3 linked regions of the Canis lupus familiaris genome follow. The protein of the gene in region 2 purifies or fractionates together with the protein of the main gene of each other region. This does not show direct contact. Links are inferred from orthologs where the notes say so. Each region holds a gene or a part of one and is shown on either strand. Other genes may lie near its edges.

What was found.
Region 1: the proteins of SSRP1 (region 2) and SAP18 fractionate together in Homo sapiens (co-fractionation; 3 studies listed by BioGRID and IntAct, with this or other methods). This does not show direct contact. The link is inferred for Canis lupus familiaris from reciprocal best matches to the Homo sapiens genes SSRP1 and SAP18.
Region 3: the proteins of SSRP1 (region 2) and H2AX purify together in Homo sapiens (affinity purification with mass spectrometry; 4 studies listed by BioGRID and IntAct, counting the BioPlex papers as one, with this or other methods). This does not show direct contact. The link is inferred for Canis lupus familiaris from reciprocal best matches to the Homo sapiens genes SSRP1 and H2AX.

The regions. Positions count from the first base shown.
Region 1 is NC_049246.1:17,090,595-17,094,345, reverse strand, and holds the start of SAP18 (histone deacetylase complex subunit SAP18), read left to right. Parts: upstream 1-1,466; 5' UTR 1,467-1,516; coding exon 1,517-1,645; intron 1,646-1,828; coding exon 1,829-1,938; intron 1,939-3,751. UniProt on the Homo sapiens protein: Component of the SIN3-repressing complex. Enhances the ability of SIN3-HDAC1-mediated transcriptional repression. When tethered to the promoter, it can direct the formation of a repressive complex to core histone proteins.
Region 2 is NC_049239.1:39,269,545-39,273,295, reverse strand, and holds the start of SSRP1 (FACT complex subunit SSRP1), read right to left. Parts: upstream 2,808-3,751; 5' UTR 2,674-2,807; intron 2,515-2,673; exon of another isoform or gene 2,282-2,514; intron 2,180-2,281; 5' UTR 2,098-2,179; coding exon 2,044-2,097; intron 1,112-2,043; coding exon 926-1,111; intron 374-925; coding exon 268-373; intron 10-267; coding exon 1-9. UniProt on the Homo sapiens protein: Component of the FACT complex, a general chromatin factor that acts to reorganize nucleosomes. The FACT complex is involved in multiple processes that require DNA as a template such as mRNA elongation, DNA replication and DNA repair.
Region 3 is NC_049226.1:14,790,751-14,793,017, forward strand, and holds H2AX (histone H2AX), read left to right. Parts: upstream 1-1,048; 5' UTR 1,049-1,151; coding exon 1,152-1,583; 3' UTR 1,584-1,740; downstream 1,741-2,267. UniProt on the Homo sapiens protein: Variant histone H2A which replaces conventional H2A in a subset of nucleosomes. Nucleosomes wrap and compact DNA into chromatin, limiting DNA accessibility to the cellular machineries which require DNA as a template.

The sequences.
Region 1 (3,751 bases), on a different chromosome or scaffold from region 2:
GATCTAAAGTATACACATCTTCGACTTTACTAAATAATCCTAAACTACTTTCCAAAGTGGGTACCAAAGTGGGTATACCAATCTGCTTTCACCACGAGTATTAGAAAATGCCCATCAGTCCACCAACAAATGTCAAATTTTTGCTTTGTTAGTGAGTGTAGTTTGTTACAAACCAATCACTATGTTTTTTTTTTTTTTTTTAAGATTTTATTTATTCATGAGAGACACACACACAGAGAGAGAGAGAGAGAGGCAGAGACACAGGCAGAGGGAGAAGCAGGCTCCATGCAGGGAGCCCGACGGGGGACTCGATCCAGGGTCTCCAGGATCACAACCTGGGCTGAAGGCGGCGCTAAACTACTGGGCCACCGCGGCTGCCCAATACATTTTATTTTTTTAAATTACACTTCAGTGTTTGGGGTACAAGTAAATACATGGCATAGTAATTTTTAAAAGATTTTTTATTATTTATTTATTCATGAAAGACAGAGAGAGAAGCAGAGACACAGGCAGAGGGAGAAGCAGGCTCCATGCAGGGATCCCGACTTGGACTTGATCCCGGGTCTCCAGGATCACGCCCCGGGCTGAAGGCGGCGCTAAACGGCTGAGCCACCCGGGCTGCCCGGCTCTATGGTTTTCATGCAATCTCTGACTAGTAAGGAGCTTGAGCATCTCATGGTTATTAGCCATGTGGGTTTCTTCATTTTAAAAGCACTTTTCGGTTATTTTACCCATCTTCCATTGGGTTGTCTGTTCTTTAATAAAAGCTATGGGACACTAGCTTTTGTCAATCACCTGCATCATGGAAATTTTTTACCACTCTGTGGTTTTTCTTTCTTGATGATGTATTTTAAGGTCAGGCCTCGTGGCTTTACTTTTTTTTCGATTTAAATCTCGTCAGGTTCACCGATCTCTGGCTCCACGCCTTTTGTATCACGTATCCCAACGCACTGATCCTGAAGCGCGTTCACGCTACGCCACAAAGTTCTCGTCCTGCTGTTCACACGCGGGTCCCTGGCCCACCGCGTGCGGAGGCGCCCGTCACCCTCCCGCGGTACAGACGGCTGACGATTTCGCGAGCACACACTGCAGCACCGTCTTCCCCTCCATTTCGCAGCCTCTTCCGTCTTCCCTCTGGCGTCCGGTTCCCATCCAGGTCTTCCTTTATTCCAGAGTTTGATGCTCCGCTGACTCACTGATCCCCTGTACCACTCTCGAGTCCTTCGTTTGCGAACATTCACTACGCGGGAACAATGCCCCGCCGGCTTGTTTGTCCCGCGAACAACTGGCGGTCACTTCCTCAGCCTCCGAACACCCACAGCGACACGATCCCTCAGAAACCCCGCCCCGCGGACGCCAACGCCCGCCTTTTTCCTGAGGACGCAACACGCAGGCGTGGCCGGGCCCGGGCTCACGCGCCGCACAACGAACTGCGCCTGCGCCAGCAAACGCCCCGCCCCTCCTCCCCGGTCCTCTATAAAGCCTCGAGCTTCTCCTCGCGAGAGACTCCGTTCTCATGCTCGCTGCGGGGGTCGGAGGTCAGAGCGAGCGTCTCGCGGGCCGTAGGAGGAAGATGGCGGTGGAGTCGCGCGTTACCCAGGAGGAAATTAAGAAGGAGCCGGAGAAACCGATCGATCGGGAGAAAGTATGGGATCCGGAGAGAGGTGGAGGTGGGCCCGGCGGGGCGGAGAGCGCGGCCTGCGTGCAGGAAGCGGCAGTGTTTGCTCCCCGGGCTGTAAGAGGCCGCGACGCCTCCGGAGGGAAAGGGAGCCCCGGACCCGAGCCGCTTTCTTTAACTTCTGCCCTCCTTTTCCTCCTCTGCTCCCAGACGTGCCCGCTGCTGCTGCGTGTTTTCACCACCAATAACGGCCGCCACCACCGAATGGACGAGTTTTCCCGCGGAAACGTGCCGTCCAGCGAGCTCCAGATCTACACTTGGTGAGAGCGCGGGGTCCGCGGGGGCGGGACCCGGGGGGTGGTCGGGCATTAACACAGTAATTCCCTCCGTGGCTCCGCTTCCTCCCCTTCCGGGTCCTTGGGCCCGGCTCTCAGAAAGTTGGAAGTTTTAGTTGTTAGGTAAAAGGGGATTCTCCCATCTTGTAATACAATTAAGCTTCATGTTCAAACTTTTGGGTTGTGAAGAACTGACGCACCCAGGATTGCTATCACTGTTGTGGCTGCTTGGTATAAAAATACACGTAGATAAATAAAATGCAGTAGCTGCCCTGAAGGGGCCCGTAGTCAACTAAATGGTACTAGAATTACATAGTAAAGTAAATCCTCAAGAGCATTTCTGTGAAATATTAAGCCTTCAATGCTATAGTATTAAAAAAGGAAATCAGCAAAAACCCAACTGATTTCTGATCTGGTGCTTAATGGAAAAGCTTTTAATGTGTGTTTCGTGAAGACCTGCCCCTGAATGTTTATGTGTACCTTCTCTACCCCTAAGTCTTTCTTAGGGCCATTACATGTTGTAAGCATATTTTTAGAGCTGCATATGTTTCCTTAGTTTGACATCATAATGGCTGTGTAGTAGCAGTAAAAAGTTAAGTGTTAAATATATATCTTTATTATATAACGTTAAATTTGCTATTATAATTCTTAAATGTATGATTCAGTTGCATCAGTTATATTCGCATTGTGCAACTATTACCTATTACCAAAACTTTTTCCCCCTCCTTGGCAGAAGTTACCCAGTAAGCAGTAATTTTCCATTCCTTTCTTCCCCGATAGACTCTAATCTAGTTTATATCTATATGAATTTGCCCAGTCTAGGTATTTCACACAAGTGTTGTGTTTGGCTTATTTCAGTGTGACATTTACAAGGTTCATCCATGTTGTAGCACATTCTTTTTTATGTGCACACAACTTCATTTTTTTTTTATGGCTTAATATTTTAATGTATGGATATACCACGTTTTGTCTGTCCACTTTTCTGTTGATAGGTACTTGAGTTTCCATTTTTTTGGCTTTTGTGAATAATGTTGCTATGAACCTGGGTATGCACATATCGTTTGAATCCTTTTGGGTATATTCCCAGAAATAGGATTGCTGGATCATAACATTATTACATGTTTAACTTTTTAAGGAATAAGGAAATAACAAGCTGGTTTTCACAGCAGCTGCACCATTTTACAGCCCCAGAGAGTGTGTAATTTTAAACTGTGAGTCCAGCACTCACTCCTTTAAAGACTGGGACCGTAATTGTCTTTGTGTTGGTATTGGTTAAAGTTATGTAATATGATTTTAGTTCAGCATCATTCCAGGATAAAAGCTCCAGGAAGGTTGATTTAACTTACAAGAAAGAACTGTTACTAATGTATTGATGAAAACTCTGTTCGGGATTGAAGTGTATACTTCTCCAGGCATCAGAGTTCTATTTGCTAGGTGCTGTGCTTAGATTTTGAGGGTATGAAGTAAAGAAGGTACTGCCCCTCCACGCAGTCAGCTCAGCCTACTGGAGAAAGCAGATGAATAAATGCTAATTAGGTAAGACTTAAGGGTGAAGATAGCAGAGTGAGATTGTTCCAAAGATCCTTTACTCCTAATCCAGAAAAAAAATTACGTAAAAATTCTGCCCAAAACTGTCCTATCCCTAAACTGCAACCAAATAAGGAAAAGCAACTTATGTTATACCTTAAAATGATGGTCAAAGACAAAAATTCTGAAAGACTTGTGGTTGGTGTGACAGCACAGAGTCCTGCCCCCTTTTCCAGAAACAGTACTGAAGGAAGATTAGTTAACAAATCTT
Region 2 (3,751 bases):
GCAGCTGTCCTGCGGGGAAAGGGCTTAGCGACCACAAGTTTCTTCCCTCAAGTCTGCAAAAACAATGCTCCCGCCAGACACTGGGCTATTTGGTCACACTGCACCCGCAAGACCAGGCCTCATCTGCTACCAGTCCTCAGTAACTAGGCGATGAGTTACAAACTGACAGGAAATCAGAAACAGTAGCACAAAAAGAGCATAACAAGGTAAAGGCTGAAACTCTTCATCCAACCTTCTCCTGAAAACTTCAGTCTACCCAGGACTCACCACCAAACTTCACAGTTCCCCAGTTCCAGCCTTTCACACAGAGGTCCTTCTCCATCAGCTCAAGGCGATAGTGAGTTTTGAAGAAATCAGAGAGTTTCTCAAACTCCTGTGGGCAGAGGGGGAGAGAGCAATCCCTGTAAGCCCCAGTGGCCTTAACACATTCTGGGATTCTCTCTGACAAACTGCCCCGATATACCTTCAGCAAACCCACTGTTGAAAGAAGCTGTTGCTGGGGACTGGATGTCAGAGCAGGGGAGGAGGAAAGTATGGAAATGACATTCCTGGTTATGTGCCTCACCGTGCTCTCTGACTTTGTGTGGGCAGTGCTTTGATGAAAGTGAAATTCAAATGCAGTACTGTCTTTAACTCAAACATGTCGAAACATTAAAACAAAAAAACTCAAACTAAAGTACCAAGACTCTGAATCTGGATAAAGGCAATGAGCAGAAACCACCAAAACATCACAATAACAGAAAATCTTCTGGAGTCAAAGCACAAGACATCCAAAGCTGAACCGTGCTTCATGGCCGCAATGGCCCTGCTCTAAGGAGCCAAAATTAGCAATTACACGGCCATCAAAGGAGCCCCAACTCTTTCTAGATTAAAAATAAACAACGTGGCACAGTAAACGGGGGTTTATGGCCACAGGACACCTCACCGATTCTCGGAAGCCGTCATACTTGTAGACGTGGCCATTCTTTGTAAGCAGTTTAAGTCCATGGCCCAGGGCGACTCGGCGCCAGATGCCTTCCGTCAGCTCCCCAGCCTGGATGTTATCCACTTTGCCCGTCTTACTGTTCTTGAAGATGATACCCTGGCGGCTCAACCTTAGCCGACCATCGTTCTGTTGGAAAAAACAGGCCCAAATGCAAGGGTACAATACACACTGTGTCCGGGGCACAGACAGTCCCACCCAACACCTACCTACACCGGGCTGGCCAGATCCAGATACAGGACCAACAGCTGGCAAGGGTGAGGGTCAGAAAGAAGAAAAAAAGTAACCTGGAAATCTGGATCCTAAAACCAAACCCTGGTAACCAGGTCCTTAGTCTGCAGTGGGGAATGGAGCGCACGACGACGGTCCCTTTCAAAGTCTGCAATCCTCTAACTCCTACACAGATGCTTTTTGAATAACGGTGGCTCAACTTACAACCTTTCAACTTTATGACGGTGTGGAAACGATATGCAACGAACAGAAACCATAATTTGAATCTGTATCTTTTCCTGAGCTAGCAGCAGGTGGTATATAATCCCCTCAGGACGCTGGTGCAGTGGTAGTGAACCATAGCTCCCAGCCAGCCACACAGTCACCCGGGTTGATCACCACCAGGCCACAACCGATACCCAACCATTCCCTACTCATTCTGTTTCACTCTCAGGATGGTATTTCATAAACCACATGAGGTGTCCAAACTCAATCATAAAATAAACCTTGTGATGGTTGCGCCGAAGCGCACGCCAACGTAAACACTCTGGGCCTGTTTAAAGTGGGTAAGACTAACCTGCCCTGTTCATCGGGTTAGAAACATTACTGTGATTTTTTTTTTTTTTTTTTTTTTGCTCAAACAGTATTTTCGACTTACAACGGGTTTTTGGCCACGTGACCCCACTGGACCCGGTAGGGAGATCTGCAGGCATTGCCTTTTGTTGGGGAAAACACCCAACTACACATTCCACTCGGACTCCTTTTCCAAAATAGCAGCATCATGGATAATGGATAAAAAGCCTACTCTCCTTCCATCTCTCAGCCTATCGAAAAGCCCAAGCCCTTCTTACCATGGAGCCTTTCACCTCCTGATAGACGTCGTTGAACTCCAGTGTTTCCGCCATTCTGATCAGCCCCTGTTGGCCTCAACTGGGAGCTGGGCCCCAACTCCTGGGTGGGTGTGCAGATACTCAGCAGGTTGGGAATCTGAATTCAAGAAGGGGGGGGTGGGAGAGTGGGTAGACAAACATCAAAGGCAGCACCTCCCTGAGCCCGTGGATGGAGCCAGGTGGCAAGGCCCGGCTGCACCTGGGATGTGTCCGGATCTCGTCTCCCAGGGACCCCACGGCAGGCCCTGCAAACCTCCAGGAGCCAGGCCCAGCCGCGGCTGGGGAACCCGGCCCGGAGTCGCGCTTACAGCGGGACCAGACGCCGGCTCGGGGCGCTCCAGCGGGCGCCATGGCAACGAGCAGCGGAACCCCGGGGGCTGCACCTCTGCGGCTCGCGACCCGGCTCCGAGGGCAAGGCTTCCCTCCCGGCGCTCCCGCCGCGCCGCGGCCCCGGGCCCAAGCCCCCCCCCGCCCCCTAAAATGGATTCGCCCGCCGCCCGTGGATTCGAACGCGGAACGGCCCATCACGGGCGGCCCGCGGGGGGGAGCGAGGCCCGCAGCCTCCCGGGGCACGCGGCGGCGACCACCCACCTCCTCGAGCGGCAGCCTCGCGACGGCCCAGGTGCGGGCGGTGGGCGCGCTGGGGGACGCGGGAGGGGGGGCGGGGACAGGGGGTCGGGGGGACGCTCGGGAAGGTTTTCCCGCGTGCGCGGCCCCGAGGCCCGCCACCGGAAGCGGTGCAGGGACCATAGAGAGAGCGAGCGAGCTAGAGAGACGCGAGCCCGGCCCGCCTGCGAGGCGGCCGCCTAGAGCGCCAGCCGGCCTGGAGGACCTGGGGGGGGCCGCGTGCGGTGCACCCTGCGGGGACCCCGAGGCGGAGGTGCCGGCGCGTAGGGCTCCTTCTTTAAAAGTCACACCTGTTGAGGGGAGGACGGGGTCCTGGGGAGAAGCCGTGCACTTGTCTCCCGTCTGACCTCCCGCGGACGCCTGCGTGCGCCTTTCCCGCGTCCCGCCCGGGACGGTCCTGGGGAGCAGGGGGCCGCGGTGTCGGTGTCGCAGTGACTGCCCCGTCCTCCCGCCACACGGCACCGGATGCTCTTTGAAAGGGCTTCTCTGTCCGCACCCAAAACTTCCCTCCCGAAGCCCGCAGTCCATGTAGGGGTGGTGGCCGGCGGGGTCCGCGGGGGGCGGGGCGGGGGCGGGGGGGGGTCACGGTCAGACCTGCCGGATGGCAGGGGGGGACCCGGTGCCCGCACCGAAGTGGATGGCGGGGGGTCCCCGCATCAGTGTGGATGGCGGGGGGGGTCCCCGCACCGAAGTGGATGGCAGAGGGGGTCCCCGCATCAGTGTGGATGGCAGAGGGGGGGGTTCCCCGCATCAGCGTGGATGGCAGGGGGGTCCCCGCATCAGCGTGGATGGCAGGGGGGTCCCCGCACTGGCGTGGATGGCAGAGGGGGGTCCCCACAGCAGCGTGGATGGTAGAGGGGGGCCCCGCACCAGTGTGGGTGGGGGGCGTCCCCGGTGCCCGCACCAGCGTGGATGGCAGGGGGGGTCCCCACACACCGGCGTGGATGGCAGAGGGGGGTCCCCACAGCAGCGTGGATGGTAGAAAGGGGTCCCCACCAGCGTGGATGGCAGAGGGAGGATCTCGGCATCAGCGTGATGGCAC
Region 3 (2,267 bases), on a different chromosome or scaffold from region 2:
GTTCCGCTGTGATCGACATCCTGGGCCTGTCTTGCCCTGTACTGACTGTTGATTGGACTTTGCCTGTGGCTTTCTTCAACTTGCTGCTCTCCCTCTCTATCCCATCCCTGCGGCCTCCCAAAGTGGGATACTGTGCTTTTTATGCAGTTATCCACCACTCGGACTCTCGAGGAATATGTTGGGCCTGGGGATAGAACCCTGGCTGGGGAGAGGGACACAGGCTCGAAGATCACTTGATTATTTGACCATAAATTAAGTATTCTGATTCGTAAGAGCAGATTGGGGGGCCAGGTGCTCCCAGTGGTGACAATAAAGTGTTGTCTTTTTCTTGGTGTTCCTGTAAGTATATTTTGGGCATTTTAGGGTAGATCGGGAGGATTGGTGGAGGTACCTCCTCCAAGAGGATGCCTATCCCTCTGCCCATCTTTTTTCTTTCAGCACAGTGGGCTCCTTGTAACAAGAAGTCAACAGAAAGAACAGACCAAATAGAACATGTTGAATAAGCCCTGAAATCCTCATACTTCAGGTGGCAGGGAGAGCCCTAAGATTGGACTTGCCTGTTCTCTGGTGCCGAACAGAAGTTTTTAGGGGGAGCAGCGGGAGGGGTTCCCATTTCTTCCCTCTCTCATTTCCCTCTGCAGGATGGGAGGAGGGAGAAAGGAGAGAAGAATGACCAGACCAGGAAGGGAAGGGAGTGGTGTCGACCCCGTTCCTTTAAAAATCCCGGGCCCGCACCGGTTTCCCAGAGGCCCTCGAGGTGGCCCAGACTCCACCCTCTTTGCCTTCCGGTTCTGGGCTCCAGCTGTAGCGTTTAAATCTGGCGCCCTTCGCAAGGATTGGCTACATCGGGGAGGGGTTGGCCGGCTGCGTGCTACCACTCCTCCTCGCCTTTTTCCCCGGGCAAAAGGTTTTCAAATCGGACCAATCGGCGGGCGCGCTGCCTCGGCCGTGGCGCGTCACTGAAGGGTTAACTGCAACCAACCGGAGGCGGGTACCCGAGGAGAGAGCCAATCAGGAGGGCGCGGAGGTGTGCCCTGGGGGCTTATAAGGCCGGCCCCTGGGCGCGCGCGGCAGCAGTTGGACTGCGGCGGGCGGCTGTTCGTTGCCCCCTTCGAGGCGTCCCTCTTCACAGCTCTTCTACCTCGCGCAGCATGTCGGGCCGCGGCAAGACCGGCGGCAAGGCCCGCGCCAAGGCCAAGTCGCGCTCGTCGCGCGCCGGCCTCCAGTTCCCCGTGGGCCGCGTGCACCGGCTGCTGCGGAAGGGCCACTACGCCGAGCGGGTGGGCGCCGGCGCGCCGGTGTACCTGGCGGCCGTGCTCGAGTACCTGACGGCCGAGATCCTGGAGCTGGCGGGCAACGCGGCCCGCGACAACAAGAAGACGCGCATCATCCCCCGCCACCTGCAGCTGGCCATCCGCAACGACGAGGAGCTCAACAAGCTGCTGGGCGGCGTGACGATCGCGCAGGGAGGCGTCCTGCCCAACATCCAGGCCGTGCTGCTGCCCAAGAAGACCAGCGCCACCGTGGGGCCGAAGGCGCCTGCGGGCGGCAAGAAGGCCACGCAGGCCTCTCAGGAGTACTGAGGGGCGCCCGCGCCGCAGCCGGCCCCCATGCCACCACAAAGGCCCTTTTAAGGGCCACCACCGCCCTCACGGAAAGAGCTGAGCCACGTCGGGCTCGGGGCGGGCGGCCGCGGCGCTCGGCTCCCCCCCGCCGCGTCGTCACCGCCGCCGCCGCCGCCCGGCCCGCCCCTCCCCCGCGCGGGCTCGCCTGCCCTCGCTCCCGCCGCCTCCCGGCCGGAGGGCCGCCCGCTCGCCCGGCGCAGGGGCCCGGAGGGGGCCGGGGGCGCGCCGCTGCCCGCCGCGGCGCCAGTGACTCAGCCGCCCGGGCCGCGCTGAGGGCCGCGGGGAGGGCCGCGGGGAGGCCGCGGCGCCGCCTGGAAGAGCCGCTCGGCGCGCTGACGCAGGGCTGAGGTACGCGCCGGGGCCGGGCCGGGCCGGGACTCTCCGGACGCCGCGGTGCGGGGACGACCCGTCACTGTCCGCCCTGCCGCCCCCTCGGCTCGGGCCGAACGCGTCCGCGGGGACCTGCCACCAGGGGGGGAGGGGCGGTGCGCCCCGCGGGCCCCGGGACTGCAGGAGGCGCGCGCCCGCGAACCCCGCCGCCCGGCCCGCTCTCTCCGGCGACCGCTCCGCGGGCCTCGCACCTCCGTACCAGCACCGGCCCGACCGTCCCCATCTGCACTGAGCCTCCGACAGCTTCGGAAC